Rhinolophus ferrumequinum: one gene and its partners. The protein of the gene in region 1 purifies or fractionates together with the protein of each later gene. This does not show direct contact. Links are inferred from orthologs where the notes say so. Each region holds a gene or a part of one and is shown on either strand. Other genes may lie near its edges. The genes, in order: SRSF3, NCBP3 and LARP1.

Region 1 (9,955 bases):
CTTTGGTCTACTTAATCAGGCCAATCTCTCCTAAGGTATGTTCTTAAGGCACCACTTCCTTCTCCAGACCATTTTCCACATAAATAATTTCACTACTACTTGTGTAGTTTTTTTCTCTAATGTTCCTCTATATTGGAATTTAGACCCACTCTGGCAACCTGAGGCTCTGTTTTGGCTTACTACTTTTTCCTCTAAATCCATCTCAGTGTTTGGAAAATAGAAAGTACCTAATAAATACTTCTTGAATGAATGAATGGTTGTTAACTATGTAATATGACCCAAAAAACTATTTCAGGGAATCATATAAAAATACATAGAAGGGTGATATCTCAAAACATCAAAGCAATTAGTTATTTAAAAAAGCTTAAAACTATGTAATTTGCAGAAAGCACTATTTTCACATAGTTGTTCAGGATATGAAACTAAAATGAGTTTTTTATTTATTTGATTTTTTTTGAGAATTTATTTTATTATAGTAAAAAAGTTCTCCCTGATTTTTTAAGTTTTATTTAAGTATAGTTGGTATACAATATTGTATTAGTTATATTAGTTTCAGGTGTACAATATAGTGATTCAATATTTTTATACCTTACAATGTGATCACCCCACTAATTCTAGTAATCATCTGTCAACGAAGAAACATCCTGCCTAAGGGAAACTTGTAAGAGTTTATTTGAGCCAAATTGACGACAATTGCTGGGAAGCAAAGTCTCAACGGATTGAGAAAATGCTCCAGAAAAATGGCCATTTTGCAACGTATTTTATACATTAGAATCAAAGGAGGAGAGTTGCATGAAATCCATCCGTTGTAGATTAAGGGGGTGGGAGAAAGCAAAGCGGAGAAATCTCTGGGATTGGATATAAAGCAAAATAGAGAGACACACACTTCTTTTACATTGGTGGGTACAGTATAGTTAATACCATTTTACAGCACAAAGAGATGTTACTTGGGTAATTAGATAACAATAAGCGATATTGTAGTTTCCTGTTCTGGTGTGGTGGGTTGTGCCCCCTGAGGGATCCAGAAAAAGGGATTACTCTGATATTCCAAGTGTATGTTATCTTAGATGGGAAAAGGACAACAGATAGGCTCACTTAAGGTAAGATTGACCTTTGTCAAGGAAGCTACAGGCCAAGGATATGACTTCCCGCCAAGGCCACCTTAGGAATTTTTATGTTCAAGCCATCCTATGTGGTTATTTTCAGTCTCCTGAGCTTGTCAGATTTAACATGTGGCCCTTTTCCGTCCACAATATCTGTCACTGTGCAAACTTACCACAATATTATTAACTATATTCCTCTTCATCTTTTTCACCCATCCTCCCCACACCCTCCCTTCTGGTAACCATCCCTTTGGCCTCTGTTTCTAAAGTCTGTTTTTATTTTGTTTTCTTTGTTTTTTCAGGTTATACATATAAGTGAAACCATATGTTTAAAATGAGTTTTTGAATGATTATGTGTTGTAATTGTGTGTGGTTAGTTTACATTTGTCCTGGTAGATCAACATTGCCCAGTAGAAATATAATGTGAGCCACACAGTTAAAAAAGTATAAAGCAATAGATGAAGTTAATTTTAATACTATACTTTCTACCTCAATACATTACAAATGTTATCATTTCCACATGTAATCAATATCAACATTAATAATGAGATATTTACGTCTTTCTTTTTAAATACTATTTGAAATCCAGCATGTATGTTACATTTACAGCACATCTCTGTTCAGACTCAAATAGCCACATGTGCCTAGATGCTGCTATTAAACTGCATAGACTTAGATTAGTTCTCCAGTTTGCTCTGCTCTGTGCCCTGGGAGGCTGACTTCTAGGCTTGCATCACCCAGCTCTCGCGCCCTCAGGTTTCCAGGTGACTTTGTGCTATATAGGAGGCACCATGAAAAGATGGAACTATGGGAAGAGAGAGTAGTTCAGTTTTTCCACCTCTGACATCCCCACCTCCAAAAAACGCACACAAAAAACCCAAAAAACCAACAAACCACAACTGGGCTGTTGCAGTGCCTTTACCTAGGGTCACAGTGACCTCTTTTTTGTAGCTACAGTACTTAGCTGGTTCTGGTAACCCTGCTCCCTTCCTTGCCCCATTGGGCCTAAGAGCTGCCTCAGGGAGTCCCTCCTTCCCTTGCGGGTTTCCTCACCCTGCCCATACCTCTGTACATAATTACCTCTTCAGTAACTCTTTGTTGAGTGTGCTATGTGCTTCCTGCCATGACATTGACTAAACCAAGTAATTAATGAAATATTGTTAAGGTCTATACTCTTATTAGATTTTCCTTCATGGATACTTGAAGTCAACCATAATATTTAAAGTATTAATTCTTCTACATAGATATTCATGCCTAGCCATCAGTAACTTTTTTTTTTCTTACATTAAAAAAGGAAAAGTACTTAGTGAATTGGTAACAGGTGAATTTTTTTAGAATTGCAAGATAACTTGGTGCCATGGTTCTCAACTTGAGGAAGTGAGAAGTCTGTGTCAGAGTAATTTCTATATTTGGAATCTTTTCTGTGTACAAGTGACAGGAAAAAAATCAAGTCAAAGTGGCTTAGGCAAGTTGGGGGAGGAGGTAGGGAACATGTATGTTCAAATAACTGGGAATTCTGAAAATGGAACTGGGTTCTTCAACAAGAGGTCCAGGGCTCCTTATTCCCCATCTCTCAGCTCCCCTCCCTTAGGTTGGGTCCACCCGAGCCTGCTTCTTCCCTTCTGGAAACAGGATGGCTGCCCTGGCTCAGGACCCCACTGGTCAGAGGAAATGAGCATAACCTCTCTTTGGTTGGCCTAGCAGTAGTGCTGGAATTAACTGCTGACTATTCTTGGATTACTCATCCATTCTAATTAGGGTGGGAGTGGGGCTAAGCACTGGAATGACTTAATTAACCAGGGGTGATCTTGTCCCTACCCCTGAAAAAGTGGGTTGTAGGGCCCAACCAGACCTGAATCAGTAACATGGTTTACTGTGAGAAAGGTAGTTTCCCAAAGAAAATCAAGAGATGTTCACTGCAACATATGATCCCCATTCTCTGTCCCTACCAAGAAATTCTGATAGGTTCTCTTGAAGCTTCACGTGGTTCTAGGATCTAGACAAGAATGGTTGGTGGTTGAATAAATTTAAAGGAACAGTAAGATATTCCTCAATTTAAATGGATAGATAATTCATTTGGCTGTGGTTACCAGAAGATAGAAAGTGTGTGTGGATGGACAGAGGAGGTTCAAACTGTATTCATGAATACAGTCGGAGGGATTAAGAGTGCTCCATTAAAAGATGCAAGCTCGATTAGCATTACACACACAAACGAAAAACTCAGGAAAATTTGTAGGAAAGAATGGGATACGGAGATGTGAAAAGAACATTTAAAAAGAGTCAGCATTTTTGGAGAAGAAATTGTGCCAGGTGATTTGCATATATATTTCTTTTAATTACTTAATTAAGTAAACAAATATGTATTGATACCCTGCTGTGTGCCAGACTTGTTTCCAGGCCCTGGGAACACAGGAAGGACCACAATAGACAAACGCTGAAGTTTTATGGGTAGAGACAGCACCTACATAACAACCCTGCAAGGTACCAGCCCATTTCACAGAGAGAAAAATTAACCCTGAACAGGTTAAGGGATTCTTTTTAAGATACTTTAGCTGTAAGTAGCAGTGAGGCTGTGGTCCAAATCCAGGACTGTCTGACTCCACAGCCTTTGCTTTGGCAGAAGAAAAACTTAAAAAGAGGAGAAAAGAGGAGAGGAGCAAGTCAAGGCAAATATAAATGAGCCAGAACAGAAAAGCATTTAGAGAAGGAAAAAAAAGTAAGATGTGAAAGAGAGGGTTTGCTAGAATCCCCCTTCACCTGGGAAACACCGCAGGTAAGGCTGGTGCAGGGCCTGGCTCAACAACTTTAGTTCCCATTCCCCCTCCTCCCCTGTAATTCCCATTTTATAGGTGAGAAAATTAAGGCTCCTGGTGATTAAATCTTCGTATTTTTTCCCCCACAATGGAAAAATCTCTTAGAACCACAATGGGAGATAAGGCTTCAAAGGAAAATATCTGGGAGATCTAAGACTTAAGTAAATAATTGTCATATCTTGAAGCTAATGACAGTAGATACAGGTTATTGTTGTTTTTCCTTTTTCCTTGAGAGCAGATTTAAATAAATTTTAGCAATATGTAAGTCAAAGTCCACTGCAAGGGGGTACAGGAGAAAGTTTGAGGACACCAGACACACTTCCTACCGTAGCTGAACTCCCTCTTCCGAATAGGAAGGTCATGGTGATTTTACTAACACAACTGCAGTATTTCTCTCCCAACAGTTAATAATTCTTGCGGCTCTGTCTTCCTAGGCGGAGTGGAAAACAGAGGAAGGTGTGAGTGGCTCACGGACCCCCAACCCTACACCAGATCAACACAACAGCCTTTTCCAGGAGAAAAACCACACGTGCCCTTCCTGGCATTTGTTCTGGGGCCCAGAATTTAAATTCAGTCTTCTTTAGGAACTTCCTTTTATTGTTATTCGGTAAAGGTGATAGTTTCCAGACGGCCTGAACGGTCTCATTTGCCTTTGAATTTCTATTAAACATTTTAAGAGTTCAGGCTGATGACACCACCCGTCTCTGCCAAACCTTGCAGTTGGGGTGAGAGGCGGAAAACCAGCCAGAGTCGGGCTGACTTTTCAGGATCGGGCTTTTCCATAAATGTAGGACCTGGGCGGGCACAATCTGATGGCAGCTGGGTCACAAACAGCCCAGTGACCGTTGGAGCAACTCTGAGGCACGTTTGTAAACGCGATGGTCTTAGCTGCAGCCCAACCGCTGGCTAGGATCAAGTAATGAATTCATCTAATATCTAAATCTTATTAGGAGCAAATGGCTCTATCAGTGTTTGGGAGTGACCGCAGTAGTGTTAATAACGCCAGTCGATTTGGAGACGAGGGAGAGGGGATTGAAAATAACTTGGAGATCGGCAACGGGGGAACACCTGAAGAAGCTCCACGTTTGAGGCGGCTGGAGCGCAGGCATATGCACCAGACCACCGACCCGACGGCGTGGCCAGAGCACGCTCCCAGCAACCGCGGTTCTCGCTGAGTTTGTAGCCTTCACGTCACGGCCTCTTCGGCCTCTCATTGGGCGAGCCAGTCCAATCACGTGACTCATCATGCCGTATAAATAAAGGCAAGGAGACAGCGGTGGTCCGCCATTTCGTGGACGCCGGGTCTGTGAGAGTGCTTGTGAAGCTGGGCGGAGGGGAACGGAAGAGCCGTCCGTGGGTGTGTGGATTTGAGCCTCCGTATTTCTAACCCAAGATTTCGGTAAGAGACCAGCGTCCAAAGTAGTGAAGAGGCAAATGGAACTTAACAGTACCGAGGTAGGGCCAGGCCCAATGGCGGCGCCAGATTGAGACAAAGAGACGCCGCCGCCATTTTGTGACGTTCTGCACGGGGCGGTGGCGGGGGCTCCAGGACCCCCGAGGCCGTACCCCGGCCCTGAAGTGGTGTTTATAATCCTCAATTGGGGTAAACTGGGACGTGGGATTACCCAAGAGTTGAAACAAAGGGGGAGCCGGTAACCGTTTTGTACTCCAGGCCGCGCGGCCTTTGAATTTATGGCGCCTTTTTTTTTCCCTCCACGTTTTCTTAAGATCCTAGGATTTTTTTTTTCTCAAGGCACTAATCAAGATTGGACTTTTCGGTCCGTATTAAATGGTTTTTGTACTCACCTTTGTTTTCATTTTATTTTAATTTGACTTCATATTTTACAGCCTGGACCCATTTTTTTAAACCGATTTTCCGTGAGCAGTGTTGTTCTTGTAGCTACTTCCCATTAATCTGTAGGCCTGAAACTGGTCACGGCAAAGGTTTTCTTGTTTTGTTTTTTTAAAGTCTCCAGTGGTTTGGTCTCAACTCCTGGGCACAGGGTGGGGTCACGCAGATAGCATGTGTCTGGACTGGTTTTTTTAACTGGATAAGTCCAGAGTAAAAAGAATGTGTGGTGTTTGTTCATGAAAAGCCCTTGAAGTGAGTTATTGAGTAGGGTGCTCTTTGATGCAATTGAAACCGGCCTACAAGGTGACTAGAACCATTGCTGAGGCGACTTGGAGGTGAAGGTTTATCAAATACAAGCCCCAAAATTTCAGTAAATTCCTGCATAAGAAACACCTAATTTTTTCCCCTTGAGGTGATATTAACACAAGATTCATTTTAAAGTGTGTAATTCAGCGACAGTACATTCATAATGTGGAACTATCACATCGTTAGTTCCAAAACATTTTATTACCTCTCCTGAGGACTCGACCTGTATCAATTAAGCAACCACTCCCTTTTCCCCAGTGCCTCCTGCCCAGCTTTGGTAACCATTAATCTGTTTCTGGATTTACCTGTTTTGAACATTTCATATACATGGAATCGTAATAGGTGCACTTTGGTGTCTGGCTTCTATAATTTAGCATGTTTTTGAGATTCGTCCGTGTTTGTAGCATTTATTAGTACTTAACTGAATAATTCATTGTATGGATAATACATTTGCTTATTTACCCATTGGTGGACATTTGGGTTAATACCTCTGGCTGTTAAGAATAGTGCTGCTATGAGATAACGTAAAAAAAAATACATAACACCCTTGCTGGTTAGGAATGAAGCTGGTTAAAGTTTTGGCTTATAAGGCAAATTAGTAAGACTTTTCTAATGGTTTAGCCTTAACTACTGTTCTCTGCATTGTTTGATTTGGTTTTTGAGCTTCCAAAGGATTTGCATCTGAGGTTATCCTACTTTTCTAAGTGCTTTTGTTCAAGATGAAATAACAGGTAAAGTCCCTAACTCAGTGCCCAGATTTTAGTAAATGTTTCTCCAGTGTTTATTTTTCCCTCTCTTTTTAAGGAGGCATTCTTAAGCAATTTGTGCTGGCTTCCTGACAGTTATCTGTAACGATCAGAGAGAAATGGGTGTTTCAAGAGTGGTAGTTTTACTTTTTTTATTTGTATTTATATTTTGGCATTCTTAAGAATTTTTTTTTCACTGTAGATTATTTGGGTAAATTAAAATATTTTGAGTTTTTTTGTTTGTTTTACAGAAATGCATCGTGATTCCTGTCCATTGGATTGTAAGGTTTATGTAGGTAATCTTGGAAACAACGGTAACAAGACTGAACTGGAACGAGCTTTTGGCTATTATGGACCACTCCGAAGTGTGTGGGTTGCTAGAAACCCTCCCGGCTTTGCTTTTGTTGAATTTGAAGATCCCCGAGATGCAGCCGATGCTGTCCGAGAGCTAGATGGGAGGTAATTTAATGATTGATTTATACTAATGGTGAATATGTGTTTCTAATTTTTAAAATCCCTGGGAATATTTGGTTTTGGATGACTTCCTGGTTATCAAATTGATGGCTAGAGATTTACATAAAACTATTTTGCAATCAAAAATAGGGCTCAATAGTTTTAGTAGAGTTTAGTAGGAAGTTGACTGGCCTTTGAAGAAAAGTTTAATGGTCAGTTCTTGGTGGATTCAGCTACATCTAATATATGGTTGCAACATTTTAATCTAAATTGTTCATTGTCAGTTGTGTTGTCATCTTTGAATTGTTTCTAAAACAATTGTGGAATTAAATATCCTCTTTAAGAGGATGCTTGCTGTATGTAGCTGGATGATGGTTAACATGGGGACCATTATTAAACCATTATCTTTTGTGTTTGAAATGCTTCCTTTAGGAAGTATGGATTGTTTGGCATTTCCTTTTGTAATTAGTGCCCTATTAAGGTAGTTGGCTGATAAGTAATGCCTGAGTCTTAATAGTGAATCCTTCCACCATCTGTTTGGTTTTGCAAACCATTGGTTTTCATGAAACCAAGGAAAATTGTTAATCCTTAAAATCCCAAAATTAAATGGTCTGAGGGTTGGCTGTAAAGCTGTATAAAAGGTTGTGTATTCAAGAAGATTGCAAAAACATTTCCAGACCCCCACCTTTTCCCATTGTCCAAATATGGTGGCTTATCTAAACTTAATGATTATGGGCCAATGAAGAAGTGAGTGAGGAATAGTTGCCTTTTTCTACTATTCTCAGCTGCACTTTCTTGGTCAACTATCAGGATGGTGATTGAGGGGAAGGGGTGATGTAATGTAAAATGACCAAAATGTTTCTGTCCTGTTTATCGCTCTGTTTACATGGATGTGGTGGGGGGGAGACCAACAAATACAGTGTAGTCAGATCAGTTAAACAAGTGCTGAGATCTCCAAGGAAGAAGTCACAACAGGATGTACAGATGAACTAGTTCTTTGAGGATGAATTCAGGGGTTTTCACACTTTAATTGCAACTGTTAAATTAACAGAGTCCACTGATGAGACTGACTCTTAACAGTAAGGAAATTGGTTTTCTTTAAGAGAAAAAAATATGGGAACAAAAACTTGTTTCGGTATTAAGGATTCTACAGGCATTCGGATGTGTTTTTGCTAAGACACTAACTAGGAATAGTTTTTGCTTTAACACATGTCTCTTAGAAAGTGTGGCTTTAAATGCAATGTTTCTTACCTTCTAGAACATTATGTGGCTGCCGAGTAAGAGTGGAACTGTCGAATGGTGAAAAGAGAAGTCGAAATCGTGGTCCACCTCCCTCGTGGGGTCGTCGCCCTCGAGACGATTATCGGAGAAGGAGTCCTCCACCTCGCCGCAGGTACTTGAGAGAGAGCGTGCTTAGAGGTATTGGTGTAATGGAGTAGCTAATAGGAGCAGGTATTTCTCTTAAACTTTGTTGGTGGGTTTTAAACTTACTGTGAAGAATCGGAAGTTTTTATGAAACATTTGCTGGGTGTAGTTTGGGGTATGTGAGTTGTGCTGAGTGTTGGCTTTTGTCTTTAGGTTCATGTTGGTAGTCAGTAACTTCTATCTTGGATCTATCTTCTAGTTCATCTTCTAGTTGCATCTTTCCAAGTCTTCCCTTGTACTTCAATTTAGGCCTTTTTCCATTTCTTGACTCCATAATGACAAACATTACATTCAACTCTAGCTCTTCACAAAAATGTGTTTTCTACTATTAGCACGATTGTAATATTTATCAAACAGGCAGCTGTTTTAATGTTACAACTGGTAAAATAGAAATCATTCTGAAACTAAAGTCACTGACCAATAAAGGGGGCTAAAAAGTAATCCCAGTCATCTGTTCTTCAAACCCAAATAGGAGAGAATTCAGTTTTTTTATAATTGAAAATGGCATCATTCTTGGACCAGGCAGTATTTGGATTATAACTCCACATCTCCAACCTCCAAAATAGTTTCTATAGGACTGAATTTACCTCTTACAGGTGAGTGAAGTCCTAGGAGATAGGAGTTCAAAATCTTGCCCCTTTTGCTATTTTGAAAAACAAAACACACTGTTGCCCATCATAATAAAGCGTATTTGTTAGCTAATAGATGGTTGTACTGATGGCTTGTTTTTCATTTTTTTTTGTGCTTTTTGGTCCATCTATTAATAAAAATGAACCCCGTTACAGAGTCACCATCATGTCTCTTCTCACCACCCTCTGAGTCTGCATTAGCCAGTCAACTAGCCCTTTCAGCGTCATGTGACCAGCGCGCCCCATTCAGCTTGGCTGGTGTCGTTTCACATGACCCAGGCATGGCCAGTCGTCAGGTTGCACCGCCCTTTGGTTCCCGAGCATGCTGTTTTCTCTCAGCCTTCTCTCCAACCTTAACCAAATCGGCAGCAGCCACCTCGACCGCCCACACATTCCTGGCCAATCAGCTCAGCTGTTTATTTACCAAATGTCTTCACAACAACTACAGCAGCAGCCTTCGGCTAACAAAAAAGCAGGAAAAATCCACAACACCCCCTTCGCCAACCAACTAAATCCAACGCAACATCTGGCAAAACCTTTTCAGCAAATTCTTCCTGGCCGTCAGTCCGGCAGCCTCACCACCATTTCTAGCTTGTTGAAACCCAAAACTAGTAAGTTTTTCCTGCTT
Region 2 (10,719 bases), on another chromosome or scaffold:
TGGAACAGTTTTAGGTTTATAGAAAAATTACGTGGAAAGTACAGAGTTTCCATATACTCTCTCAACCCCCTCGCCTGCTGCCAACCCCCCCCCATTTCCCCTATTAGTAATATCTTGCATTAGTGTGATACATTTGTTACAACCGATAAATGGATATTGATACATTGTTACTAATGAAAGTCCACAGTTTACATTAGGGTTCACTCTGTGTTGTAGTTCTGTGAGTTTTGACAAATGTATAATGACATGTATCCATTGCAGTTTTATACAGAATAGTTTCACTGCCCTAAGAATCCCAGTGCTCTACCTTTTCATCCTCCACTCCCACCAACCCCTCACTCTCCACTCCTCTAACCCCTGGCAACCGCTGATCTTTTTACTGTCGTCGTAGTTTTGCCTCTTCCAGAATGTCGTACAGTTGGAATCATACAGTATATAATCCTTTCAGCGTCCTAGGTGACTAAAACTTTCATTATTGGAGGCCGGCCCGGTGGCTCAGGCTGTTGGAGCTCCGTGCTTCTAACTCCGAAGGCTGCCAGTTCAATTCCCACATGGGCCAGTGGGCTCTCAACCACAAGGTTGCCGGTTCGACTCCCACAAGGGATGGTGGGCTACGCCCCCTGCAACGAGCAACGGCAACTGGACCTGGAGCTGAGCTGCGCCTTCCATAATTAAGACTGAAAGGACAACTTGAAGCTGAACGGCACCCTCCACAACTAAGATTGAAAGGACAACAACTTGACTTGGAAAAAAGTCCTGGAAGTACATACTGTTCCCCAATAAAGTCCTGTTCCCCTTCCCTAATAAAAAAACAACAACTTTCATTATTTTAAAAATTGAAATATAATTGACATATAACATTGTATAAATTTAATGTGTACAACATATTGATTTGATACATTTGATACAATATGATTGCCATTGTAGCATTAGCTAACACCCAACACTTCTGTCTCATCATACAATTATCATTTCTTCTAGTGGTAGGAACAATTAAGATCTAGTCTCTTAGCATGTTTAATGTTTAAAATACAGTTTTGTTGTCTGTAATCACTGTACTGTGTATTAGATCTCCAGGATTTATTTATCTACTAGTCACAAGTATGTGCCCTTCCCTAGACGATTTTAATGAACATCGAGGATTGACATGAATAGCTCTGGTCTAGAATTTGGTAAGGGAGGGTGTATGTCTGGTGCTTCATGTTTCTAAATCTAATTCAGGAAAAGGTTTCATTTCCTTCTGATATGTCCATCCGTCCATCCATCCATCCTTTCAATATTTGTCCAGAGCTTTTTATCACCAGGCACTGAGTTAAACACTAAGCTAAATCAACACCGTTCCTACTCTCATGGCTCTCAGTCCATCGCAGGACACAGACATTAATCAAGTTGCCAGGCACATGTGTGGGTGATTTTGAATGGATATGGGCACTCTATAGGAAAGGCTCGCAGTGGTGAGTCTCTGGTTGTGGTTGGGGAGGTTTCCCCGAGGAAGGGAAGCCCCAGCTGAGATCTGAGTACAGTTGGAATCATACAGTATATAATCCTTTCAGCGTCCTAGATGTTTAAAACTTTCATTATTGGAGGCCGGCCCGGTGGCTCAGGCAGTTGGAGCTCCATGCTTCTAACTCCGAAGGCTGCCGGTTCAATTCCCACATGGGCCAGTGGGGCTCTCAACCACAAGGTTGCTGGTTCAGTTCCCACAAGGGATGGTGGGCTGCGCCTCCTGCAACGAGAAAGAGCTAGCGAGGCCAAGGGGGAGGAAAGAAATCTCGAAGCAGCGAGACTAGCTTGTGCAAGGGCCCTGTGGGAGGAGGGACAATTTGCTTTCCAAGAACTGAAGTAGTGATGTTGGGAGTAAGGAGGAGAGTAGTGCCTGCAGCTGGAGAGGAGGAAGGGCTGGATAATGTGCTGAAAAGAGGAGGGATAGGAGTGGAGGAACCAGAAAAACAGAGAAACCAGTGAGGAGGCCACTGCAATGTCCAGACATTGCAGAGGTGATATGTTGGTGGCTGGGATGGAGAGAAGCTGAGGGATGAGAGCTGAAAGGAGGGACAGAAGCAGATGGGCACGAGGGATATGTGGGAGGTCAGACTGACAAGACTGTGTGGCCGTGGCTATGGGGGTGGGAGAGGAAGGTGTGAAGGGTGGCTTCTGGCTTCCACGCTTGTACACCTGGATTCACTACAGTGCTGATCAGGGAGGTAGGGAACACAGGAACGGACCCGGCTTGGAAGGAGGATTCTGACTCTTAGTCAAGTTGAGTTTGAGGTGCCTTGAGACATTCAAGGGAAGATGTCCAATAAGTAGTTGAACATATGGGTCTGGAGCTCAGAGGAGAGGGCAAAACTGGAGATGCAGATATGGAGTCCTCAGGCTGTGGATGGCCGTGGAATAGGAAGCCATGGGTGTGATGAGATGGCCCAGGGAGTGAGCACGGGGTGAGAAGAAAGAGGGCCCAGGATCGAGCCCTGGGAGATTGTTAATGCTGCGGGAAGGAGGAAGAACCCTAAAAGGCACTGGAGCAGGCGTAGCCTGGGAAGTGAAAAGAAAACCAAATGTGATCATACAATAGAAGATTGTGTGTGGTTTCAAGACCTGGGGAGCGGCTATCAGTGTCCATGATGCTGAGTGGTCCAGTCAGGTGGAGAAAGTGAGGGAACACAATCCTTTCAAGAATTTAGCTGTGTTGGGGTTGGGGAGCATACGGGGTCTGACAATTAAGTTTGTGAACTCACTCTAGAAAAAGTGCTGCCTACCTCATTCCTGAATATCACTACGGTCACCTTTGAAGCACTCCCCTTGGGAAGCTGTGCACCGACGCCAGAGCCTAGTCCACCCTTCAAAGCAATTTTGAAACTCTTTTTCTGGAATGGCCATCAGAGCTGTCGTCATATTACCCTTGATGTCCTGAATGTCATCCAAATGTCTTCCTTTCAATATTTCTTCTGGTAAAGAAAGAAGTCATTGAGGCCTGGATCAGGTGGGTAGGGAGAGTGTTCCAATACAGTTATTTGGTGACTGGCTAAAAACTCCCTTACATGCAAGAGCCATGAATTGTTGGGGAAAATTTCAGGTCGTCTAACTTTTTCACACAGCCCGTTCAGCGCCCAAATAGTAATAACCTTGGTTATCTGTTTGTCCAGTTGGTACAAATTCATGATGAATAATCTTTCTGATACCAAAAATAAGTTAGCAACATTGTTGCAACAAGCCCACGAACTTGTCAGACGCGGTAGATACATATATCTTCTGCATCACGGTCAGCTGCCTCAAGACCTTTTCTTTCACTGTAGAAGCTTTTCCTTAATTACCAACCTGCACATATTCCAAGGACGTGAAATGGGGGTGTGGGTTGTGGGTGTCCAATTTAAAACCGCATCAAAGAACAACTCTGAATCAGCAGGGCATCACCTCAGGCCCGTGGACCATGTTACCAGTTCTCAAGTAGCATTTGATAGGAGCTCATATTACCTTTTAATGGCTTTTCCCTTTTTTATCCCAGGAGAGGTAGGATCCCATTATTCATTCCCCTCTTCCCTGGAAGAGAGAAGGAGTGGCCAATTTCAGTCAAAATTTTAAGAAAGAGGAATCTTTCAGAAGACCCTTAATATCCTCTTTGTCCCTTAGCCTCCACCTTCACAAACTTCTCAAAAGAGTTGTCCACACTTCCGCAAATTCCACTTCTAATCTACCGTCCTCTTCATGGACATCGTCTCATCAAGGTCACCGATGGCCAGCAAACCTCTAGACCCAAGCCAAGTTTCACTGTGAACTTATGGCTGCCCTTGATACCTGATCACTTCCTGGGTGAAACTCTTCTTTCAGTCTGTCCCAGTGTCCCACTCTCCTGGTTTCTTCTGTTAATAAAAAATCATCCAGACTTTGGAAATAGGAAAAAAGAACAGGAAAAAGAACTACACTGATATTCTTTCAATGTAGTGCCAGGTGTACCTATTTTGCCCAGGGGTTATTGATTCTCTAGGGATGTGTACCTTTGTGTACCTTCCGATTTACTATCTATTAGGGCATTTTACAGCTCTGTAAGGGTAGAAGTTAATTTATAGAAAATTCATAATGAGCAAACAATTCTTGTCCAATAGCGATGCAAATGTTTTCTATCTGGTAGAAAAGGAAACCCCAAAGGTTACAGTTTTTTTGCCTTGTAGGACATTAAATTGTGTTGTTACATTAATTTCTGTGTTCTTTTGACTGACCAACTCTGTATTCATTCCCAAATTCTTTTTTGAACCAGTGTTAATATCTTTTCGATGTCTTCATCCCCTAATGAATGAATAAAAGCTTTGACATGTGTTCATTTCATATTGGGGAGTCATGTTTTTCAACTTTTCTTTTTTTTTAAGATTTTATTGGGGAAGGGAACAGGACTTTATTGGGGAACAGTGCGTACTTCCAGGATTTTTTCCAAGTCAAGTTGTTGTCTTTTCAATCGTAGTTGTGGAGGGCGCAGTTCAGCTCCAGGTCCAGTTGCCTTTGTTAGTTGCAGGGGGCACAGCCCACCATCCCTTGCAGGAGTCAACGAGTTGAACCGGCGTCCTTGTAGTTGAGAGCCCACTGGCCCAAGCGGGAATCAAATCTTCGGCGTTAGGGGAATGGAGCTCCAACCACCTGAGCCACCGGGACAGCTCTCAACTTGTTCAAGAATTATTTTTGACCACTTCTGTTTCCATGGCCCCACTTCAGCAGGCTGCACCGAGGACAGGAAAGGGGGGCGGGTGGTGAGTCAGGTGACTAAAAAGAGACAAAGACATGAAGGGCTTTCCTGACGGAAGTCTAGGAACCCTGGGGTTAGCCTGATGCCCTGACTTGCTCTGGATTTCTAATTCTCCTGCCAGCTAGAGCTCTGCCACAGGAGCTGGTTCTCCCTGAACGCAGTGCCTGAGTCCTCAAGCCACAAGGCTCCTCCCACCCTGCAGGGTGAGAGGCCTGCCCAGCCTTTTCTGCTTTTCCGGGTGTCCATAGCTGAGAAGGGATTCCTCCTCTCCTCATTCCCCAACCCCTCAGGCCTAGAAAACACGTGTAATGGTGGGGTTTGTCACTGTCGCCCAAAGCTAGCCACCCCAAGCACAAACTTTCTCTGAAATGTTCTTAAAAATTCACACAAATGCATTCCATGCATGCAACCCCATTTTGTAACTAGTGTCCCTTTTGTCAAAACTAGCCCTCTCAAGAGCTCCATCTTTTTTGTCCTGTGATTTAGCCCACATTTAAGAAGAACTGATGCACTGTGTCCCTTCTATTTGATCCTGTATCTACATGTAATTATCTCATTGAACCCTCACACCTCCTTTGGGGGTGAGGAATGTCCCATATTACTGCTGAAGCAGCTGAGATTCTGAAGTGGTAAGTGGCTTGCCCAAGGTCACACATGGTGTAAGGAGCGGAACCAGCCAGTTTTGATGCTGATCATGCTCTCTCTTGGTTTATAATTATTTGTTCCTCCATGATCATAGCTGGCAGGTCCTCAGGGACCCCAGGGTCCCACCCATGCCCTCCTGAGATGGGAAGACAGGCCCAGAAAGGGACCAGAACTAGCTCAAGTTAACACGGGGAGGAAGGTGCAAAATCTGGACTCAAAGCAAAAACTGCCCTCTGGAAGCTTATAGGACACTCCCCCTCTCCCAACCAAGCTCTTGTTGAAATGTCTGCAAGAAACCATGTTCAGAACCTTACAGTGGACTAAGCCCTCTGGAGTCAGGAAATTGAGGGTTAAGCTCTGGCCTTTGGGCAGCTCACTACCCTCTCGGAGTCTCAATTTTTGTGTATGTAAACTGGGTCAATTATTGGGACACCTGAAAAAGACTAACGTTGTTAGTAAGGCAAATACATTGTAAACCTACAGAATACCTAGAGGTGACAGACCAAAGCTCATTCTGGGCTCTGGAGCCAGATTAGATTGTCTAGGCTCAGATCCAGGTTTTTGTCTCTTAAATAGTCTGTCACCTTAAGTAAATTTTTATGCCTCAGTTTCCTTATATGTGAAATGGGGACTAACACTACCTACTACTTCATAGGGTTGTTGTAGGGATTCAAGCGCTTGTAACAGTCACTGGCACGTAATGACCTCTTAGTAAAGTTAGCTTTCATTACAGGCTTACTGCTCTAGGCGTAACTGTTAGTTCTAAGCCCAGAAAATACCGATCTCCTCCAGGCCCTGCCCCCTCCAACAGGCCCGTCCCCATCTCCATTCGGTCCCGCCTCCTCATCTCCAGGTCCCGCTCCAGCCTGCCCGGGTTCCTCCTGCCACCAGGGGGCGGCAGCGCTAAAGGGGGAGGGGCATTCTAACTGAAGCTGGCGACGCTCTAGGTAGCGGCGGCGGCTGCTCTGTAGCCAGTGGCGGCGGCGCTCTAGCCAGCGGGTGTGCGGGGCGGGCTCTCAGTGGTGCGGCCGGCGGGCGGCGATGGCGGCCGTACGGGGCCTGCGAGTGTCGGTGAAGGCGGAGGCCCCAGCGGGGCCGGCCTTGGGGCTCCCATCGCCTGAGGCGGACTCCGGTTTGGAGCGTGGCGAGCCGGAGCCCATGGAGGTGGAGGAGGGCGAACTGGAGATCGTGCCGGTGCGGCGCTCGCTGAAGGAACTGATCCCGGTACGGGCGGGGGACGGTGGGCGAGGAGGAGGAGGTCGCTAAGAGAGCGAGTGCCCCGCGCCGAAGCGGGCCGGAAAGGGAGGCGGCCGGCGCCCGGGCTGGGGGAAAAGTCAGGGGAAGGGGAGCGAGGGGGGCGAGCGCGGGGGGTGGGGGAAGGGGGCTCCAGGCTGGAGGCGAGACCCGGAGCGAGAGAAAGGACGCTGGGGCGCCCGGAAATGGGTGTTGAGGGGGCTGGAGGAGGTGGGGTAGAGCTGGAGGGTACTTAAGGACGTCCCTTTCGCTGCCCCTCTGAGCTAGTCTGTGCAAGGGGGTGATTGAGGAGGGGCTGGGATTGTCTAGGGGCTTGAGATAAAGGGGGAACCCCAGGCGGGAACAGGACCAAAAGTGGCCCAGAAAGAACTGTGGCGCCAGCATCCAGCCCTCCTTGTGGGTCGTGCTCCGGTGGAGCTGGTGTCTGTAAAACCTAGCACTCGCGGGTTTCTCTTGGAAGGGTGGGACTTGTCAGCAGCAGGAACTCAGTGTTTCTGTTGTGGCTTGAGGGCCGTCTTGTCCCCCATGCAGCCCCACTGCTATGTAGCACCTACACCGTGGCCCCAGCATCTGACCCTTAATGAACCCAGAACATCAGCGAACAGCAGTGGTCCTTGGTCTGTTTTTTTAATCACAATGGAGATACTGAGAGGTGTTTTGCTTGTGGTTTGGTGGTCCAGTGTCCGGTTCTTATGGCTGGTCTCAGACCTGCATGGCTCTTCTCAAGTACTTAATTTCTCACCCAACACAAACTACTTTTTACCACGTCAGCAAGACATGCTTTTAAATTGAAATTATGGGGAGAGGTGAAGGTGGGAATCACTAAAGATAGCAAATGATAGTGATTCTGGTAGCAAGGATGAACAAAGTGGCATTTTACCATTAACTACATTGTATCATTTAAATATTACCCAGGTTGTGAAGTCGACATCATCCCTTTATTCGTTCAGTTTAACGTGTGTCTATTGCATCCCTCACTACAGGTGCCTGGCACAATCCTAGGCACTTGATCAAGATCAAACTCCCTCCTGGAGTTTATGTTCCAGTTGGAGGACACAAGTAACAATTTCTGATAGTGGTAAATGCTATGAAGAGAATAAAACATGTTAATGGGAACAAAAGTGCAGAGGGCGGGGGGCGGGGTGCAAAATGGGCAGCAGAATGGGATAGGATGATCAGGGAAGTCGTCGGAGATAGTGACATTTAAGCCAAACCCTAAACGACAAAAAGGAGCCAACCATGTGCAGACTTGGAAGAGAGTGTTCCCAGCAAGGGCAACAGTAAGTGCAGAGACTGAGATGGGAACAAGATTGTTTTGTTGGAGAAATGGAAAGTTCTGCAGCATAAGTGAAAGAGGTCAGGAAGGCCTAGATACGAGGGTGGATACCTAGGCCCAGAGAGGCCAAAGGAAATTGCACAGTGTTGTGTAATCTGTGAACTGCGACTTGAGTCCTGAGCTTCCAAATCCCACCCTCTTCACTGCACTGTGCTGTTTTCCCTTGGAGGTCTGGGTGAGTCGGGGCTTTCTGCATTTTGGTGAGGGCTTGTGCTCCACCTGGTGGCCTGGCCTGGTGCCTTTGATCTGTCTGGGTTGGAGGGAGAAGTGGACGTTTTTCACGAAAGCCTTTAGATTTTCACTTACACAGGTACTTTCAATAGATGGAATTACTTCAGGTGTTGCACAGGCTCTGATCTAGAAAAGACTTCTCATTAAGGTGGTTGATGGCTACCAGGGAGTCCCTGGGATGTTGTTTCCTCATAATAAGGGTTGTGAGGGTAGGGGAAGGATTGCTGAAGCGAATGACTATTCAAAAGGCATCAGCTGTCTTTTATTATGAGATTTTCCTCAATAGCTGTAAGCATTTCATACATTTCCCCCTCGTGTTAGGACACAAGCAGAAGATATGAAAATAAGGCTGGCAGCTTCATCACCGGAATCGATGTCACCTCCAAGGTAAGACAGACCAGGATTTATTTATTCATTTTGAGAAGCGGGTGAACTTCGTCCCTAGGACTTGTGGAACTGCAGTTATTCTTTACCTCCTATTTTGTTTTGCTGCAGAATTAAACATTTTTAACTTAAATTTCATATTATACAATGATGCCTTTGTGCATTCTGGAAACATCTGGGCAATATTTTGTTCTCATATTCACGACAAGATGAAAATCACAATACCAGGGTGACTGCGTAACCACATCCAAGAGAAAGTTCTGCACTGGGAATGCTTTTTTTATGCTATGTCCCTTCTTTAAAAGTGCATATACTGTTTCCACTTTAAATGAAACAAAACATGAATAATAGCATTATATTGCTATATTGGCTGTATAAAAGCAAAAATAAAAATAAATATGTCATGCCTATGTTTTATCTGGGTCTCAGTCTGTCAGATGGCTTAAAGGCCAAAAGAAAAAACTGACCTTTTAGACAAGAAAATAAAGTGAAGATGTTTTCCTGTTGTAATTGAAAAAGAAGTGGACTGCACTGTTCTTAATCCTACAGTTTGCCATTATGTGAAACAGATATATGGGGGAAAGGGTAGTAATCCCAGAACTGATACTTAAATTATGGCTAAAGGAAGGTAGATTGTTTGCACTGGCAAGATGTAAGTGAAGAAAATTAGCATAACTATTGGGAAGTAACAGAAGTGTTGCTGCTTTACCAATCCCCACAAGCTTTCTATAGTCAGACCTTCAATTAGTGTGGCAAAGTTAATACACAGTGAAGGGTTCCTAAGAGCTATCCGAAACCCACAGTCGGACCTGATTTATTTTAGCTCTTGAAAAAACTTATGAAGCTGATTATTTTGTTTTTCAGTGAAGCGTCAATGCTTCTTGTCACTTAAGGATGCAAACTGGCAATTCCATAGACACAAGCCTAGAATAGAAGACAGAGTTTCTTTGCCTCAATGTTATTTTTAAACCAGGAAAAAGCCTTAGGGAGTGGACTGCTCAGGCATACATAATGTGGAAGAATGCGATAGGTGTGATTACCATGCAGACAGTGTGAAGTGGGCGTGGTGGTAGGGCTCCTAGAAATAGCACTGAGATCAGAAGATCTGCCCCCCCTTACTAGCTGAAGTACCTCCCGCAAACCTTTTAACTATTTTGTGCCTCAGTTTCTGCACCTGGAAAATTGGGAAGTTGAGATTGTTTGGTTGTAATTTGTTCAAAGACTGATTGCTAATAATAAATGAAATGTCAGAGAACTAAAGCATTTATTACTCATTGAATCAACAAATATTCACTGAATTCCTACGCTTCTCCAGACACCATGATAGGCATAGAATCATCATGAAGATTATTGCAAATTATAGCAGCGTTAGTGTATGCCTTCCTAGTAATTGACTTTGAATATCCAGTTCTCTTGAAAAAATTATTAAAGGTACATTGTTGCTTATTTCTCCTGATTTATTTTACAGTTGTCACTGATGCATTATGTTGTGTTTGTGATTGTGTGTGTGATTTAACTTTCCTCGTCCATTGAAACATGGCTTTTTCTGTACCGTCTAGGAAGCAATTGAAAAGAAAGAGCAGCGAGCCAAGCGCTTCCATTTTCGATCAGAAGTAAATCTTGCCCAAAGAAATGTAGCCTTGGACCGAGACATGATGAAGAAAGGTACGGGGCGTTTCAGGGGAATTTTTCCCTCATTTCCCCAAAGAATAACTTTTCCCTGCTTGGCCTTGTGCTTCTGGCCTTGCCTTGCATGTCCAGGTCTCATCCAGATACTCCCAAAGGAAGAGAACTTGTGAAGTCTCCATTTCTGAGGTGACCTGTTTAAAGTCGAGCTGCTGTTAACTGTGTCTCAGATGTTACAGCTGAAAAAAAAGAGATTGTCTTATCAGAGGAGGCCCAAAGCAAGTCACCCAGTGAGTGGCAGAGCTGAGATTAGAACCTATGCTTCTATAGACTTTTACTCATTTTCTGCTTTTATCACAGAAGGCTTAACTTTTCTTTCCCTTTAAACGCAGTGGACGTGTATCGCCGTGAGACCTTCTTTTAGGGGAATCAGAACAATATTGAGATTGGTGAGGGAAAGTCATCAATACTTCTGTTGATACAGGCTTGTGATTTTATTTAATTTTTG
Region 3 (10,696 bases), on another chromosome or scaffold:
TTTGTTTGCTAAAGTTAGCGCATTTTACTTGTATGTTTTATCATTTAAAAGTATATCTATAATCTATATATTATATATAATAAATACATTTGTTAAATACATTATACATTTTATATATTTATATATTAAATATATATATATATATGTTTATATATATATATATTATATATATATATATACAGTCGTTTCCCGCACCCTCCCCTCCATCCATGGTTTCACTTTCCACAGTTTCAGTTAACCTGCAGTCAGTCCAGAAATATTAAATGGAAAATTCCAGAAAGAAACAATCCATAAGTTTTAAATTGTGTACCATTCTGAGTAGCATGATGAAATCTTGAGTTTTCCCACCAGGAACGTGAATCATCCCTTTGTCCAGTACATCCATACTGTATATGCTACTCAGCTGTTAGTCACTTAGCAGCCATCTCAGTTACCAGATCAGTTGTCAGAGAGAGAAAGGAGAGAGAGGGAGACCACAGTCACATAAGTTTTATTATAGTATACTGTTATACTTTTTCTATTTTATTATTATTGTTGTTCATGTTTTACTATGCCTAATTTATAAATTAAACTTTATTATAGATATGTGTGAGTATAGGAAAGAAACATAGCATATATAGGGTTCAGTACTATCTACAGTTTCTGGTACCACTGGGTATCTTTTAACGTATCCGTCTTGGATAAGGGGGGACCACTCTCTGTGTGTGTGTGTGTGTGTGATTTAGCACTTGACCTTTGACAGTGTTGCTCTCGTTACTAAAACATTGATGTGATCAGATGATCAGAAATGATCCTGCATTCATTCATTCATTTTCATTTCTTTGTCCCGTAAAGACACAGAGGGCCTGCTGTATAGAAAGCACTGCTGATGATTTCTACAAGGGATACTAAGAAGAATGGTGTATAATCCCTGCTTTCAAGAAACATAACATAATCTAAATAGAGGATAAGACATACTCCTCAGTAACCATAAGTGAGGGTAGAAAGAAAGTAAAAAATATTATATGCTTTAGGGAAATTGCCACTGGGAGTTAAGAATGGGAAAAAAATGTACTCTACCTGTGGAGATTCAATCAGACTTTGTGAAGAAGTCGGCATTTTGTATTGAGCCTTGAAGGACAAGTAGAATTCTGGACAAGTAGAAATGGAAAGGTATTATTGGCAATAATAAAAGTAATGAAACGTAATATTTACTTAGCACATACTATGTGCCAGGCATTGTGCTATTAAATTACACACATTATCTCATTTAAGTCTCACAGAAGCCCTATGAGAGAAAGTAGTATTATCATCTCCAATTTATAGGTGGGGAAACAGAGGCTTAAAGAGAGGTTAAATTTTTGCCGAAAGTCATGAAATGGAATTCACACATACACAGAGGGTGCCAAGAAAATGTATACACATTTTAAGAAAGGAAAAAAACGATTAAAATTGTAATACTCAATATATACCGATAACAAAAGATGAATATAAGCCACATTTGACTTCTGCAATTGCAAGAGATACTCAAAGTGGTCACCATCAGTGTCCAGACTCTTCTGAGTACGGCCAACTACTGCTTGAGCAACGTTGACCAAAGTGTCCACTTGTATATATTTTTTTGGCACCCCGTATATATGAGTGTATGTGTATGAACAGCTTTGTCACAGTGAGAGAAATAACATGAATTGAGGCAGGAAAGCATGGGGGGCCCACAGGGGATTAGACAGGGAGTTTCCTGAAGGTGGGGAATATGTGTGTCTTGCTCAGCTCCCCATATTCAGGGCCTGGGCAGTATCTGGCACATTGTAGATGCTTAACAAATTATTTTTTTTTTAAAGATTTTTTTTTTTATTGGGGAAGGGGAACAGGACTTTATTGGGGAATAGTGTGTACTTCCAGGCCTTTTTTTCCAAGTCAAGTTGTTGTCCTTTCAATCTTAGTTGTGGAGGCTGCAGCTCAGCTCCAGGTCCAGTTGCCGTTTCTAGTTGCAGGGGGCACAGCCCACCATCCCTTGCAGGAGTCGAACCGGCAACTTTGTGGTTGAGAGCCCGTGCTCCAACCAACTGAGCCATCTGGGAGGCAGCTCAGCTCAAGGTGCCGTGTTCAATCTTAGTTTCAGGGGGCGCAGCCCACCATCCCTTGTGGGACTCAAGGAATCGAACTGGCAACCTTGTGGTTGAGAGCCCACTGGCTCAATGTGGGAATCGAACTGGCAGCCTTCGGAGTTAGGAGCATGGAGCTCTAACCGCCTGAGCCACCGGGCCGGCCCTTAACAAATTATTTGTCGAGTGAAAGAAACGGTGAGTGGTTCTCTGTTGCTGGAGTCTAGGGTGTATGGCTGGAAGTCAGAGGGACAGGGAGGGATGTGAACGGGGGTATTTTAAGCAGAGGCAGGACCATCAAAGTCCATCCAAGTCAGAGAGCTGGCTCAGCCAGAGAATAGTTAGTGGGAAGTCTGTCATGAGACCACTTGAGAAGTGCAGGAACGCCAGGGACGGTAGCAAGGCTGGGGAGAGTGACTGCTTAGGGTAGAATGGAGGGAAAAGAAGCTGAGATGGTGCCTGTCTCTAACTCAGAGTAGCGAATGTGTTAGAAGTTAATTCTCTATCAGACCTTCTTCACTGCAAACCCACCCTGCTCCTTTGCCAACCCCCTTGGGCCTCTGAGCCTACTTCCTCATCTGTAAAATGGGGATAATCATATTTACGGAGAAGAGTTGCCCTGGAGGTTAACCAGGTATTATGGGAGCAGTCAGCACCCTCCCCTACTCCTCACCTTACACATTAGCTATTGCTGTCTACATCTACTTCCCACGAGGAGATCTAGGCTGAGCCTCCTCCCATGAACTGAAGTAAGTTTCTTGGCATGTGCCAGAAGGCCCAAGAGTCTCCAGGGTTTGGAAAAACACTCCCCAGCTGGCACTGTTTGTTTTGGCCAAGGTCCCTGCCTTTGCTGACCCCACCCACTCCTCCATGTCGGTATAAAGAGGCCCCTGATATCACAAGCAGATAAGTGGTACAGCCCAAGTCCTCCCAGAATCACAAGGTCCTTTGGAAAATCAAACTCAAAAAGGAATAAAACTGTGCATCCATGTGTGTTAAATTTTCTTTCCTAATAAGCACAGACAACTCAAGGAATCACCCTCCCCCCACTCCGCTTTTACCTATGCCCCCAAAAAGACAGAATAAAGTTTCGTGGAAACTATCATTTTTCACACTCATCAGCCAGATGGGCAGCTATTATGCTTCCCATTTTGTGGATGGGGAAATGGAAGCCCAGGAAGGAGGCTGCCCAAAGTCATTCAGCAAAGTCGGAGATGAGACCAAGGTTATAAACCAGGTCTCCTGGCTCTCTAGTCTCTCGTGTGGCCTCCTCTGTCTCTCTTTAGGACATTGTCAGCACCAGGAACAAACAAACGCATAATTAATTACAAAGAGGTATTTGGAGCCACTTTATAATTTTTATTTTTTAAGTTTGATTTTTCTCACTGTTTCTGCATGTGTTTTCAGTACATGACGTGTGGAGGTCTTGGGCACAGCACAAGTTAGTCTGATCCTTGTCCCTTTCTGCCTAAAGCCTATCTTGTCTTATCTCTTTTCGGCCTGAGGTCACCTATTGCTTAATTACTTGCCCCCCATCCCCCCAAAAAGTTTACCTTTGGGAGAGACAGGACTCAACATTTTTAGTTATCTTCCCCAGGCCTATGTATTTGATAGCAATGGAGGGAAGAGAGACAGGCCTTACTGTGTGGTGTGGTGGGTAAGAACAGGTCCTGTGGGATTAGGCTGCCCTGAAAAAGCCCACTCTGATATTTAGCTGCTGCCTGGGACCCAGGCACCCACCTTACATTTCTTTTTGAACTTTGTAATTGTTTGGAGTTGAAGATACCTTAGGGCCTAGCCTAGTGCCTGGCACATAGTAGGAACTCAATAAATATTCGTGGGAAGAATTAATACCTATCTCATTGGGTTGTTGTGAGGATTAAATGGGATAATGAATGTCAAGTATTTCTCAGAATCTAGCATACAGTAGCTACACAATAAAAGCTACTTTTAACTATTTGGTCATTATTAGTGTTTAGAACTGAACCCATGCAAATAGAATGCCATGGTGGGTTAGGAATAAAAAAAACCTTGGATTTCAAATCCCAATTCCATCATTTCATGTAGAAAAAACTATTGGATTTAGGATGAGGAGACTCAGGTGACGGACCTGGCTCTGCCATGGATTAGCTGTGTGACATCTGATAAATAACTTTTCTTCTCTGAATTTCAGTGTCCTCATCTGCAAAACAAGGAGATTAAGTAATCATCAAGATTCTTTTTTTCTTGCTTTAACAGCTCATTGTAAGATGTAGTCTCACACCTGTCTCTTATCTTCTTTGGCCCCAGTTTGCTGGGTTTCTTATCTTCTCTGGCCCCAGTTTGCCCAGCGCACACAGGTGTTTAGGAGCCGAGCCCCTCCCTGGGTGTGCAAATGCCAGTGCCCCTCCTGCCTCCATACAGCAGGGCCTGGCAGCACTTGTTCAGCTCAGACTGACTGCTGAGTGGTGTAAATTGGTTACTTGAACACACAGAGCCCTGATGCCGTCATAAGTTGTATAGGGGCACTTTTCCTTCTGCCTCCATTACAGGAATATAGAAAAGAATGATCAACAAATGACTATTATGTTTCCTATTAACAAAGTTTAGAGAGAGCCTAGTGTGGAGACTTCAGGAACTATTTATCAATAAATACAAAAAAAAAGAATGCATTCCAGTGGCAATGTGCAATAATTTATCATCTGATTAAAGTTATATACAAAGCAATTATGGAAAATTCTGCTTAAATTCATTGAGATCCCTTTATTATCTTCCTTGGTACCTCTTTTGAAGCACTGGCCTCGGTTTTTATAATTTACACAGCTCTTTGACTCGCACATTATCTCACTTGACTCCTCACAATAGCTCAGAAGGTAGAAGCAAGTCAGGCATAATTTACCCCCATTTTTCCACCAGCAAAGAAGGCCCAGGGAAGTGTGGAGAGTTGGCCACACAGTACAGTGTCCAAGTTCCGGAAGAGTTGGGCTTAGACATCATATTGCCATCATCTCTCTCCAATTGTCCTGATTACAACAACCCTACAACTAGCCTTGCCCTATGGGGCAGCTCCAAGAGGCTTTTCAATAAGCCTTCTCTATCCAGCAGGTTGTGGTTTCTAATCATTGTCTTGGAGATGGCCAGATTTCTGGGCTGTTATATCTTGAGCAGGTGGGATCACCGCCAGAAACCCGGACTTCTCCAAGTAAAATGTGGGATCACCTGGTGGGTAAGTACCCAAGGGAAGTCTTGTTAGACATGCAGATCTCTGGGTCTAATCCCAGACAGACTTGATTCCAAACGCTTTGGAATATGCATTCAATGTTTTCATCGTCCAAACTAAAGTAGCTGATCTAACCTATTACTGTAGTCATTATTGTCTTCATAGATACTAGACAAGGACTTGTTAATCACTTAATTTTGTCTCTCTACCTTAGAATGTAAATTTCATGAGCATAGGGACTTTGCCTGGTTTATTGCCAAACCCCGTTTCCTAGAACCCAAAGGCCCCCACAGTACGAGGTCAGTAAATATTTATTGAATTGTGCACTAAATTTTGAAACCACTGTTATACACCACTCTTTCGCTTTACAATAGGGAAACTGAGGCCCACTGAGGAAATGACTGCTGCAGAGTTGATAAGGGGCAACGCCAGGGTCAGGATAAAATCTCAGACCTCAAGAGTCTCAATTGGGCGTTGGTTCAACTCCGACCAAAGCCAATTCTTTAGAAAAAATGAAATCCACTTGAAATAAAAGACATTTCCTGCCCATAAATGCCCAGTTTCTGGGGCTTGGCCGGTTTGGGATCTGTTGGTAATTCGGTTCCCACTTCCTAGGCGCCCACTGCCCCCAAGGGTTAAGGGCCCGACTTCCCGGCCGGGCATCGAACCCTTCTCCAGGCAGTATTCCCGAGGCCGGCGGGGAGGAGCCGAGCACAGTCAGCAGAGGTGAGGGCAGCTAGCCCAAGGTCACCCGGACGGCGCTTGGGGGGGCCAGGCCCGCAGGGCACCAGGGAACCGGCGGCCTCCGCGCTACTTCGGGGTGGATGGGCACCCCCGTCCATCATCTTGTAAGACGAAGGTGACATTAATGGTTCCTTCTCCCGAACCTGGCACATCCAACCTAAAGAGCGTGAGCAGGCCGTGCCGGCCGCGTGGCCCGCTCCCATGTGCTCCACCTGCGGCCGCTCTTTAGCGCTGGTCCTTTAAGACACCTCCCCTTTTTTACCCCCCCCCCACCCCACATCTCTCCTGCCTCCTTCATTGCCCCCCCGCTCCCGAATTGCATCAGGCACGTGCTCGCCCCCGTCCGGTCTGAGCACCCCCTCGCCCCCTAGCCTGGGAGGTGCACTGAGGAATCGGAGGCTAGGGGCGGGGCGGTGGGCGGGGCCGCGAGGCCGTGCGCGCGCGCTCCCGCCGCCTCCCGCCCGCCTGTCGCCAAGGGTCGGCCTGAGCGGGCGCGCCCCCGCTTCTCTGCCCCTCCCCTCGCTCGCCGCGTCGTGAGGCGCGCGCCCGCCCGCCGCCTGCCGCGGATCGCGTGGTCGGCTCGGCTCGCCGCGCCTCTCCCCCGTCCGTCCATATTGCTGCAGCCCCCGAGCCGGGAAGCCCGGGCCGCCCCGGCGGCGGGGGGGAGGGAGGTACGGGACGAGAAGCCTGCCAGGCTCGGGGTGGGGGTGCCTTGCGAGGAACGGGCGGGGGGGGACGCGCGCCAAGGAGGCCTGGACCGCAGAGTGGGGGGCCTTCCACCCCCCCCCGCCCCGCCAGCGGCCTGGGATCTAAGGCGGCTGCATCCAACCGGGAGTGGGACCGCGCCTAGCGTGAACCCCGACCCTTCTCCGCAGGGACTGGGGCCCAGCTCTCCGGAGGAAGGCGTCGCGGGCGCTCTGAGAGCCAAGTTCGAGGCGGGGGAGGCCGCCTCGGGCGCGCCCGGCTTCTCCGGGGGGGCGGGCGCGCAGATGGCCACTCAGGTGGAGCCGCTGCTGCCGGGGGGCGCCCCGCTCTTGCAGGCCGAAGAGCATGGGGGGCTGGTAAGGAAGAAGCTGCCGCCGCCGCCCGAAGGCAAGGGCGAGCCCGGGGCGAACGACGTCGGAGGGGGGGAGTCGGACGGCGGCGCCCGGAGACCTCGGCCGCCCTGCGCCAAGCCACACAAGGAGGGTACCGGGCAACTGGAGCGCGAGAGCCCGCGGCCCCCGCAGCCACCCGGCGCCGAGGGCCTGGCCTTCAGTGACGGGGAGGAGGGCGGCGGCGGCGAGCCGGGCGCTGGTGGAGGAGCGGCCGGAGCCGCGGGCGCCGGGCGCCGAGACTTCGTGGAGGCCCCTCCGCCCAAGGTGAACCCGTGGACTAAGAACGCTCTGCCGCCGGTCCTGGCCACCGTGAACGGACAGTCCCCTCCAGGTGGGTCTTCCTGTTTGCTATGCAGGGTCCGGGGGCCTTTTCCGGGGACATAGGCGTCCCCTCCCCCAGCGGCCTCCAGGGCCTGGGGTCCGCCGCTGGTGGTGGTGACTCGGGATTTTTTTTTTTTTAATTGCTTCCTGGCTAATTCGGGTCGCTGTGCCCTCCCCACCGACACACTCGGGAACCTGTCCCTGCCCGAGTGTCCGGCCTCCAGGAGGCCATGGCCACCGCCTGGGCCGCAGCGGTTAGTGGGCAACGGCGTGGTCCGGGCCTACCTCGCCGGGAGCGGGTGGGCGCTGGAATCGGTGAAAAGAATCCTCTCTCCCACCGCGTGTTGGTGTGAGAGACGGTTCCTGGCCTAAACCTTCGGGAAGCCCCCTCTTCCCACCCCGCCCCACGCTCCTCGTTTTGGTAGCGTTGCGATCGTCCCCATGTTGTAAATGTTTAATGAGCATATGTCATGGGCAGCAAAGCGCCCAGCGATGAGTTCATATCAACTCCACGGGTTCGACATTTAGAAGTTAATAAGTTTTGTTCTCAAGTGTATGATATTAGGCGGTAGAATCGCCATTGACGACGCGTTGAGGGGTCGGTTACGAAGAGAATGGGGAGAAGAGGAAACCCAACGTGTCATTGAATTCGGTGCTTTCCCTCCCCGATCCCGGGGATCTTCCGCCTTGAGAGGGAGCCGGATGGCGAGTGTGCGGGGGACCCAGTTAAGGGGTTGGCGGAAAATATGAAGCTAGCGAGGGGGCTTGCGGCGGCACGAGGGGCGTGTGGCGGCGGGGGAGGGAGTGGCCGGGCTGGGCGGGCGGGTGACAGTTGGGCGCCATGCGCCGCGCCGGCGGACTGCTCGCGGCCGCTCGGCCTGTACATTCCGCGCCCGCCGCGGCGCTGGGGGTAGAAGGCGGGTGCGGGCTGGCGGCGCGGCCGGGAGTGTGCGTGTGCGCGAGTGTGAGTGCGCGGCCCCCCTTCCCGGCATTCCTCCGCAGCCGGGACAACGTGGTGCCTCCCCGCGCGGGGAGCGGCATGTGACCGCAGAGCCGCGCTCTCCACGCCTTCTCCCTCGTTTTTTTTTTTTTTTGTTTTTGTTTTTGTTTTTGGTTTTTTTTGGTCTTTTTGGGCCTGGTCTTTTGGGGAGGTGGGGGTGCAGGAAGTCCTAGCGGAGCCGTGTCAGCGTGGGGAGAGAGGCGGTGAAGAATATGGAGGCTCGTCTGGGCCTCCCTTTGCGGAGAATAGACGGTCGCCTTGGGTTGGGGGCGCGCCCTCTCTCCTCGGTTTGCCGGCGCGTAAGGGCAGAGTGGTTCTGGATTCTTCGGTTTGGGGTCCTTTTGAAGTGGACCAATACCAAAACCCGTTTGAAGCTAGAAGGATGGCTTGTGGCCATAGCCCTAATGCTTTTTTCAAAACTCCTCCCCTTCTGCAGTCGCTGGTTGAAGCTGACTGGTTTAAACCATCGAAATGGGGAAAGTTGCAGGGGGGTGCTTAATACCTTCACATTCAAGGGAGTAGAATCATTCGTAGTCGTAGGAAAACCAGAACAGCCAATTCTGAAAATGGCGTGTTGCAATTTTTATTTCTTTTAAGGTTGCTTCATTTGGAGGAGGAGACACTTGGGGTTTACTAATAGTACCTCAAACCGTGTTCTCTTCCTTCTGCCCTTCCCCCCTTTCCCTTCCAGAGCCCTCTTATGCAAAGGGCATTGCTGAAACCTCCATTTTCTTGCATATCCCTCTTGATCCACCCACTGAAGGAGGGAAAGCAACTTTAAGACACTCTTTGGTCCTTCCCCCATCTTAAAACTCAAAGGGGTATAATCATCCCCAGGAGAGAGCACTCCTCAGAAGTTTAAATGGGGCTACTCACCCTGGCTGCTGCTGCTTAGCCAATGGTGAGCCTGCCTGTGGGTTTTAAATCAATCATGACATCAGGTGGTATTGGGTGCCTGAGCTGGCATTTTGTGCAAATCCAGGGACCCTTGATAGGGTGCGTCACTGGGGTTATTGGTCGCGGGAAGAAGACAGCTTGGCTGGCATCTCACCTTTTCTTCCAGTGGAGAAGCCAACTTGCATTAAGTGCCCAAAGCAAAATTCTGAGTCTGGTAGGTTTGCTCTGTTGTTTTTCTGGGATCTTAAGGCAAGAAAGCGTCTTCTCTATTCATTGGTGTTGAACCTTTGGAATAGTCTTGGACAGACTAACTGAATTAGTCCAGTAGCTTCTCTTTTTAAGCCTGTAGTTAGGGCTTGGATGCTTTTTGAGGGAAAATTCTGTGATCGACTTGTCTGTCTGGTAGGGTTCTATGGGGGTCCTGTCTTTGGAGTCTACATGGATAGCTAAGGCCCTTTTCTAGCCCTGGTTTTATTTGCAGCTTGGACAAGTTTAAATGTGACACCAATGGAGTGGCAATGTGGTCTTGGGAATTTTTGTGTTCTGTAATGCATATGTTTTTGGGAGTCTACAAAAATGAGTGCCTCATAAGCAAGCTAAAACCTTTCCAAAGCTTGTTGCAAATGCCTATTTTTAGCCCTTCCTTTTGGCTCAGATGCTAGTGTTTTAGTTCTGTAAGGGCCACACGCAGTAACTAGTAATAAAAGATGTTTTTCGATAATCCACCCTTGTAGGGTTCTCTATTCTGGTTTAAGCTTCCACGTCTTACCTTTGTAGTTTCAAATCTTGGGATTTGCGTTTTGGCTTGTTGTATTTGCCTCCCCTAGAATATTTTGAAAACATTTAAAATTTTTTCCTTATCCTAGCCACAACTCTAAGTGTAATGGGAGAGGCACAAGATGTTTTCGTTAAAAAAAAAATGATGTATATATAGCAGAAGTTCTGGGGTCAAAACTGCATGGGTTCAAATGCCAGCTCTTAACACTTGCTGACTGTGCCTCCTCCGGCAAGTTCCTTAACCCTTCTGTGCCTCAGCTTCCCCATTTGTATACTGGAGATTAAATTATGATTTATCTGCCTCTTGAGGCTGTTGTGAGCATTTATTGTGATAATGTGTAAAGCTTTAGCCCAGTGCCGGGCATGTGGTAGCTGTTATACCAAGTCTGGGAGACAGACTGGGACTTTCCGGAACTTTTTCTGGGTCTTTGTTTTCCCCACCTGTCATTTGAGGGGGTTGGGGAATGCAGTGCTCCTTTCCTTTTCTGGTATTGTTGGTGGTGTATCAATACTCCATGAAACATATGGGATCATCTCCAGAAAAATGGACTTTTGCTTATCCACAGGCATAAAAGGC

The links.
Region 2: the proteins of SRSF3 (region 1) and NCBP3 purify together in Homo sapiens (co-immunoprecipitation; 3 studies listed by BioGRID and IntAct, with this or other methods). This does not show direct contact. The link is inferred for Rhinolophus ferrumequinum from reciprocal best matches to the Homo sapiens genes SRSF3 and NCBP3.
Region 3: the proteins of SRSF3 (region 1) and LARP1 purify together in Homo sapiens (co-immunoprecipitation; 3 studies listed by BioGRID and IntAct, with this or other methods). This does not show direct contact. The link is inferred for Rhinolophus ferrumequinum from reciprocal best matches to the Homo sapiens genes SRSF3 and LARP1.

What each region holds. Positions count from the first base shown.
Region 1 is NC_046286.1:6,459,745-6,469,699, forward strand, and holds the start of SRSF3 (serine/arginine-rich splicing factor 3), read left to right. Parts: upstream 1-5,187; 5' UTR 5,188-5,315; intron 5,316-7,071; 5' UTR 7,072-7,073; coding exon 7,074-7,279; intron 7,280-8,531; coding exon 8,532-8,666; intron 8,667-9,955. UniProt on the Homo sapiens protein: Splicing factor, which binds the consensus motif 5'-C[ACU][AU]C[ACU][AC]C-3' within pre-mRNA and promotes specific exons inclusion during alternative splicing.
Region 2 is NC_046304.1:14,689,846-14,700,564, forward strand, and holds the start of NCBP3 (nuclear cap-binding protein subunit 3), read left to right. Parts: upstream 1-6,364; 5' UTR 6,365-6,421; coding exon 6,422-6,604; intron 6,605-8,522; coding exon 8,523-8,588; intron 8,589-10,144; coding exon 10,145-10,250; intron 10,251-10,719. UniProt on the Homo sapiens protein: Associates with NCBP1/CBP80 to form an alternative cap-binding complex (CBC) which plays a key role in mRNA export. NCBP3 serves as adapter protein linking the capped RNAs (m7GpppG-capped RNA) to NCBP1/CBP80.
Region 3 is NC_046307.1:25,613,169-25,623,864, forward strand, and holds the start of LARP1 (la-related protein 1), read left to right. Parts: upstream 1-6,579; 5' UTR 6,580-7,016; coding exon 7,017-7,455; intron 7,456-10,696. UniProt on the Homo sapiens protein: RNA-binding protein that regulates the translation of specific target mRNA species downstream of the mTORC1 complex, in function of growth signals and nutrient availability.